Linked DNA regions of Xenopus tropicalis. The protein of the gene in region 2 purifies or fractionates together with the protein of the main gene of each other region. This does not show direct contact. Links are inferred from orthologs where the notes say so. Each region holds a gene or a part of one and is shown on either strand. Other genes may lie near its edges.

Region 1 (4,226 bases), on a different chromosome or scaffold from region 2:
GACTCCTATAGGTGCTCATGTACTAGCCCAGCATCCCCATTAAGGAAAGTTGATCACTGACAGAAGACAGATCAGCTACTGACTGACAAGTGTGCACTAGGCTTGTGCTTTTAAAACTGGGCTTACTGATAATATGCTATTTAACTGGCAGGTAGGGCCTTACATAGAAGTGGGGTTTACTAATAATGTGCTATTGGGCCTTATCTTGTGCTTGCCCTACTATTACTGTCTAACTAGCCCCTGCTTATTTTAGTTTATGAAATATCATGGTGAGCATTTAAATAGTAGCTAATTATATAAGTATGGGAACCAATTAGTCCTTGACATGTTACTGAACTATTGGCCCTAATCTAAACAGAGTATTCAAAAACATCTAAATGGCGTCAGCTTGCCCAGAGCATGATCTTGCACAATGACCAGAATACTGCCATAGATTGTAATACTTTGTTGGTGGCAGCATTTGGTTGGTCTTTTCATCAACATTAGCGTATTCTCTGACAAACAAAGGATGTATAGGGACTGTGCCTCTCCTATGGTGAATAATTGCAGTCACGTCAGCCAGCCATCGTGCCTCCAGCAGGACAAGCAAATGAAACACAACAGCCATTCACATTACTAACACATACGCCTCTAACCCCACATGTGTGCGACAGAGTGCAGGCAGCATCTTCAGCACCTTTGTATCAATAAAGCACCAACAAATCATTGAAAAAGTATATTTATAATTTGCAGTTGATAAAAAGGCCAAGAGTGGGTCAGTGAGAAAGATTTCCAACAAGCTGACAGGAGAGCTGCACCTCCGGCCAATAAGTTATCTGAGTGAATGTGCATCAGAAATCACTATATACATACTACAGGGCTGGCTCCTAACAAAACAGGAATAAAGGATTAGGCTCGCTTGTCATTTCATTCACTTTGTGCAACATTTAATGGAAGCAGCAAACAATTAGCATTCTGGGAAAAGAAAGGGCGCAAAAGGTAAGGAGTGATGTCTCATCAGCTTGTTGTGCATCAGACTGCTTCAATAAACGTACGGACTGCAGCAGGATAACTAGTATTGTTTCCATTCCATATCATCTGGGGGATTTACGTCTACTTTCTTCTTGCCCACATCTGTCCAGTTGGTGCTCAGCACGGTTCCTCCTGACTCCATCTGTAAAAGAAAAGGTGACTGTCAATGCCAAATCTAACTTGTCCTTTCACACTATGAGGTGTGAGGTATAAACTCATAAAAGCCTTAATGCCCCCCCTCCTGCTGAAGCGCTAAGCCATTCCTCTGGTCTCGTCAGAGGCATGTAACACTGCAGGAGGGCAATGGGTGTAATAAGGAAGGACCCTAAGACATAACGGCAGTTGAACATTGCAAAAAATCAATGTTTAAACAACAAAACAGAGAAAAGCATAAAATAGAGATTTTACATGTTGTAAGGAAAAGGAAGATAAAACATGGAGCTATAGGGACTGTTTAACTAGTCAGATAAATGGAAATATCTGAGACCATCTGGCAAGATGCAGCCTCTCTCTTTTGAGAGATTATTAGCTTTATTACTGATCTCACTGACTACTATGGGGTTAGTGTGTCTGAATACGGACTCAGGACATGAGTAGAGTTTAAGAATTCCCTAAGCGAGTGTGAGTTTAATGTACGACATTTTGAAGGCGCCCCCCTAGCTGCTCCCAGTGCCAGAACTACATCTAACTGGAAACAACTCCTCTACCTGATAGAAAGTTGTTTTCCATTGAATAAATATACAGTCTTGAGGAGCATGATGGGAAAAATGAAGCCCTCTTTAATGGTTATTAGTCACATTGGATTTTCATTAAACAGAGCTAGCAGGATTTCATTGCACAGAAAGATTATGTTAATTTTCTTTTCTGCATCAGTCATTTTTCAATTCAGAAGCTGCTAAAATTGCAGTCCTGGGAAAACCTGTATTTCAAGTACGAAATTCATTTCCTTCAGTTTTTATGAGCCACACACATCATTTTGCCTTCCTTCCTCTTATGAAACCGATAGGTACCATAGGATTTGTCAGTACAGAATGAAATCAAGATGATAAAACACAGAAGGGAGAACATAAATAAATGTAACACATAAATTGTATTTTATCTCAACCTTTATAAAATCAAAATTGGTTCTAATTATGTTCAATGCTATTCTATTATAGGAGAAACAGCAAAAGATTGGGAACATAGAGGGAATTATATATATATATATATTTATATATATATACACACACACACACACACACAACCATTACACACGGGACAAAATGAATAGCAAGAGTGAAGTATTATTTGCAAATACATTTATGTTCTCTGATGGGAGAAAAGAATATGACAACAAAGCTTTTGTACAGCCCAAGTGACAATCTGTGCCTCATTAGATGCCTCCAGTAGCCCCGAATCTTGTGCCATATTCATTTTTAGGGTTTATTTTTCCTTTAAATGATTTCAAGCTGCCATAAGGGCCATGGCACACCCCTTCGGCTGAACTCTACTGGCCAGGGCAAAATTACATGGAAGTGTCATTCCTTAGGAGCTAATATCTAACAGAAGCAGCTGCTAGTATGTAACAGGTTTATTCAATCTACTCATAAAGGCAGGGCTAAACAGGTATATAAGATCTTGATGAGCAGGTTGAGTGTGAGGGAACAGTTCCCAAATGCTGCAAATATTGTGAGTGGCACAATATAAATAACATGTGAGCAGCTTACAGGGTCCCACAGTAATGGGGGTAATGGCCAGTAGGCAATGACAGGGAGCAGCTTAATCTTTGGGCTCTTGAATACCCACTGCCAGGGTTGATAGTGGGCTCCTGGGGGTGGGGGATTGTACAGGACAATGGGAAGGCATTACTATGACTGCTAGTAACTAAGGAGGTAGCAAAGGATTTATGCTTAATTTGATCCAAAGAGTACAGGGCTCGTTTACAACTGTGAGTGCAGTTTTCAAAGTGCAATTGCCATGGTTTTTCTCCCCACAGCACAGGTTTTTTGCCCCAGAATTCCAATGCCAATGTAGTCCCCAAGGGTGCAATTGCGCCAGATTCACCAAAATGAACGCAACTATGTGTGCATTTTGTCACAGAGTAGATGCAATCACAAGGAAGTCTGCCTGCTGCCATTCCTGTGTTCCACATGTGAGTGACACTTGCGCTCGATTTTTTGTGTGTAAATTAAATGTGCCTATTGACGCTGGGCACAAAGGGAACCCTGGAGCTACATTACAGTCAGGAGTTGATGGTAGGTTCGAGGTCCTGCCTGCATCATTAGGCGCAGTTCAGTAGCTCTCCAGTTTGGCGTTTCAGCAGCTATTTTGGTTGCTAGGGTCCAAGTTACCTTAGCAACCAGGGGGTGGTTTGGATGAATAAAAGAGGGACTGAATAGAAAAGAAAGTTACAAGTAACAATAACCATAAAACTGGAGCCTCACAGAGCAATAGTTTTTTCAGTGACCCCCATTTAAAAACTGCAAAGAGTTGAAAGATGGTGACAAATAATTCAAAAACTATAACAAATAATGAAGACCAATTGAAAGGTCACTTAGAATTGGCCATTCTATACCAAAATAAAAGTTAAAATAAAGGTGAACCACTACTTTAACTACAGCCCAAATGTACACACTGAAAATAATGGAGTTTTAATTTCACTAATTACACTCAATTGTTCTTACTTCCCTTGAGTATAATATACAGTTTGTATTGTATACATAAAGATACATAAAGACTCTGCAATTCTGGGGGAAGAGCAAGAATTTCCAGGGGTAAAAAAAATCTTATACCACATCTTTCTCTTTGCCAATTGGTCAGTTGTTGTAAAGAAGCAGCCTGTGTGGGATGCCCCAATAGTAGGTGCAAATTCTTACATACCCAGGTTCCTCATGGTGTCACTGCATTTAAATAGATAATCCACAGTTATGAACATGAGCCCAATAATAATCTTTAAAATGTCTAAAATAGAGCAGCGGTGACAAACATAAATATATATATATCTCTTCTTCTCTTCCCACATGAGCCTTCATGTAATCCAGATACATGCATTTACTGTACATTTGTTGGTTCTCCCTCTGAAAGGAGCAATACACCATATCTGAGAAAGGATATCATTTTCCTATTAATGTGTACTGAAAACCCCCAAAGTCATTTATTCTGCACAGGGAGCCTTATTTCTATGCATAAGTGTTATACCAGGGATACCACACGTGCCTGCTTTACCAAGCAAAGTG
Region 2 (3,826 bases):
AACACATGCTTGCACATAATAAACAATTGCCTCATGCGCATGGCTGCCTATAAGGGTCAATTTACTATGGATAGATCCCAAATGGATAGTGATCCCATAGTGCTAAAGTATGTTCCCTAATAAAAAATAGATTCCTGATATGTGTCTATGAAGATTTTCATTCATCCAGGTCATGGTATATCTAGTATAAATAAATTTAAAGCAACTGGACTTGTTAAGTAATCATTGAAGACGTTTCACTACTCATCCGAGCAGCTTCTTCAGTTCAACTGACTGGTATGGGAAGTCCTCAGCATATATACTCTTCCACTAATTCCTGATATGTGTTTTGCTTCAATACAAGGAGCTTTAACGAAGGCATGATTTTTTTCCATCTAATACTCGGCTAACAGTGTTTCACTGGTTCCCAAGTTCTTGTGGATCAACCCAGTATGGCCCATCTTCTGGGTACTTCTTAATATCTGCCTTTTTCTGACCAAGCCAAAGTAGTGGATCTTTTTATTTGTGTGTATGTATACCGTTGTGTCTTAGAAAGTGTGCCTTGGCTAGAGTTTTAAAAAGTATTTTCTATTATAGTGCAAGTTTATTCTACTTAATGGAATACATTTTTAAAGCAAAATGGACGTATTCTGTTTCAAAGCATGTCAAAGATCAAGTTTCAATATATATATATGAATTTTATCATTTCTATTTGGGTTTTATAGTACTAAAACACTTTTTTGTCTACGTTTTGAAGCAATTTATTTTTCTTCAGATTTTTCTTGCTGTGTATTAAAAAAACCATAGTTTATTTCATCTCATGCAGCATTGTAGAGATGAAATATGGGTTCATATACAGGAGTATCCGAGCCAAAAACATCAAAAATTTGAAATTATGAATATGTAATTCCCACAAATATTGAATATACATATGTGTCATAGTGCCAAGACAGCCTTTTTTATGGTTTGTAATGGTGCATGAGACTTTCTTTGCTTTTGCAATAGCATAGCAACATGCTTTACCCATAGTGTTAACTTTTTTTCTTCGTAAAGCTCTACCTTTCATGGCAAGCCCATATAGCACAAAAAAATCAAGATTTTCTTACCAGAAAATCCTTTTCTCATAGGCCCATACTGTCAGTGCAGGACAACTGGGATTAGGTTGCTCCTCTCTGCAGGATGGACTCTTCCTTCTCATCCTCTTCCTTTGTCTCCACCTATCGACAGTTTTGTTTAGTTTGTCCTGGCAGCAATAATTCTTCTTCTACATATTATTCAGTCTTATTCACTGGATTTAAAATTCTGCTCTCAGGTAGAGCTAAGGATGATTGCAGGAAGTATGTAATCAGGTTTAGTCCACAGTGCACCCCCATATACTAACAATTCTTGAACCCAGAGTGCTTCCTCCTGAAGAGGTATCCCCTGACTTGGTTGAGCCCTTACAATACTCTGAGTTCTGCTATGAAGTGTTCCCCCCTGTTGGTTGAGCCACTGCAACAGTGTGCTCCCCATGATTCATTATGATTGACCCCTTACGAACATTCTATCAAGGACAATTGCTTAATGGTGTGCTTCCCATGGGGTAGAGCCCCAAACCCCTTGCATGCTCCCAACTTTGCTGGAATCGGGTGAGCTCTATACCACACTGTTATGCTAAATTTGGCTGCCATCTTGCTACTCCCACTGAAGCGAACTGTACTCTCAAGCGGAGTAGTCAGTATGCAGCAGCCATCTTGGTACTCAAGATGACGTCACTGCACAAATTTCTGGCACCGGGACACAACGTCTTTGCGTTACGCAGGAGCAAAGACAAGAGTTGCAGTACAAATTCTCTGGTGCTTATTTACAGCATCATTAACCTCCACTCTGGCATCTGCTGATGAGGAAATACTCTCCCTCACTGAAGATATTGACCTGACTGACAAACCTTGTAAGTTAAAAGCCAAGGTCAGAAAAAAGCAAACGCAAGGAGCGCTCAAGGTCTCCTTCCCCTAACTCAGATTCTTTGGCAAGCCCTTGCCAAGTTACAACTCAGGCACAAGTACATGCACCTCGGGAGATTTTTTCTCATACTGTAGGTGATACAGCCCCAGATGTTAAAGAGACCATACAAAACCCTGCAGTACAGCCACAAGATCTACAAGGTTTCTTTGAATTCCTATCCTGGTTCCAAACTACTATACAAACAACTTTACACCAGACAGTATAAGCTCAGGCACAGCAACTGCCATCTATATAAAGAGCACCTAAGCTTCACAAACCTAAATCACTAAGCCACTCCTTCATAGCTTCTGAAGAAAGTAAATCATCTACTTTAGAGGAAAATGCTTCTGCACAATGGCAACTCACTTCAACACATGACTGCCTCGCTTCATGACCAGGATGAAGGACCATCAAGGGGAAAGGTGTAAATAAACTGCCCTTCCCAGGGTGCAACTAGTGCATCTGCACTCTCCGTATCATTTCAATCGCAATGGGCTCTAATGCCCAAGGTTTGGCAGTACTTCCAGACGCTTCACTCACCCCACAAAGAACCCTTTACCCCCGTGGGACCTCAATTTTGTCCTCTCTGCATTCAAAAACCACACTTTAAACCAATGGCTTTGGTGCACATCAAGTTCATCACTTGCAAGGTAGTTCTGTTAGTGGCCTTGTGCTTCGCTACCAGAGTCTCGTACAGGGGTGTTTCTTGCCCCTTAAGGCGGCTCCTCTGATGCCACGCCCCTTGCCCCCTTCCCCCCCCCAGGCTTATATCGCAGTGGACAGAGAGACGCCTTTACACTTGAAAGCCCATTCCACAGAGAACTGAGCAACATCTTGGACATTACACAACCAGACACCCCTGGACATGATCTGCAAAGCAACCCAATGGAGTTCACCTCACACCTTTTCAAAGATTTACAAATTGGATGTCTTGGCATCAGCAGATACAGTTTTTGGTAGAAAGCTGGGTACTACGGCAGTCGTAGGCATCTAATTCTGAGTTAGTGTTATGAGTTAGTAGTTCCCCCCCATTTTTTTGATGGCTTGGGTACATCCCCAGTTGTTCTGCACTGACAGGGCTGTACAGAGAAAGGAAGATTTTTTTTTACCAGAAAATCATTTTCTCGTAGGCCCGTACCATCAGTAGTGCAGCATCCCACCCAATGGCAGGGGTGTCGGGAATTTTCTTTTGCTGCTTAGTTACCGTAGGTTAGTTAAACTAGTTAGGGTTATTTTCTCTATCTCTACTGGCACCTTAATAATAATAGTTTGTTAATGTATATACCTCATTCACCTTTTGATTTTTATTTAATTGTTCCCAAAAGAGGCTGAATGTAATGTATGAATGTTTGAGCTGTGCTCTGTAAGGAAACAAAGGCCAGTGTTTTGTATTACTAAATACTCAAATTTTATTTCATTCTGTTTAGAACTTGCAGAACTGCCACTAGTCCGCTTGGATTTTTCCTGTAATAAAGTTACTTGTATTCCGGTGTGTTATCGAAACTTAAGGCACCTCCAGACCATCATGCTTGATAACAATCCTCTGCAGTCTCCACCAGCACAGGTGAGTGTGCTCATCAGGGATGTATTCATTTATATTACCATACATTATCAAACTTCATGTACGTGTCGATGTAAAAACTGTGTGTTGAATGATTTTCTTTCCCAAAGATAGATAGTTGAAAAAAAGACAATAGTATATTGTCAGGGGTTTCTAATATTGAGGTAAAACATCTCAACTATGAATGCTGTTCATCTGAATTCCCAAATATGTTTAGGATTACCTAAGTATTTGGCATGCTCAACATAAAATTCTGTAAACTACAAGTCTTGAGGCAAATTTCTAAACTTCATAAACTGAATT

Evidence for each region.
Region 1: the proteins of lrch3 (region 2) and sugt1 purify together in Homo sapiens (co-immunoprecipitation; 3 studies listed by BioGRID and IntAct, counting the BioPlex papers as one, with this or other methods). This does not show direct contact. The link is inferred for Xenopus tropicalis from reciprocal best matches to the Homo sapiens genes LRCH3 and SUGT1.

The regions. Positions count from the first base shown.
Region 1 is NC_030678.2:132,190,607-132,194,832, forward strand, and holds the end of sugt1 (protein SGT1 homolog), read right to left. Parts: intron 1,154-4,226; coding exon 1,052-1,153; 3' UTR 703-1,051; downstream 1-702. UniProt on the Homo sapiens protein: May play a role in ubiquitination and subsequent proteasomal degradation of target proteins.
Region 2 is NC_030681.2:100,457,845-100,461,670, forward strand, and holds part of lrch3 (DISP complex protein LRCH3), read left to right. Parts: intron 1-3,389; coding exon 3,390-3,526; intron 3,527-3,826. UniProt on the Homo sapiens protein: As part of the DISP complex, may regulate the association of septins with actin and thereby regulate the actin cytoskeleton.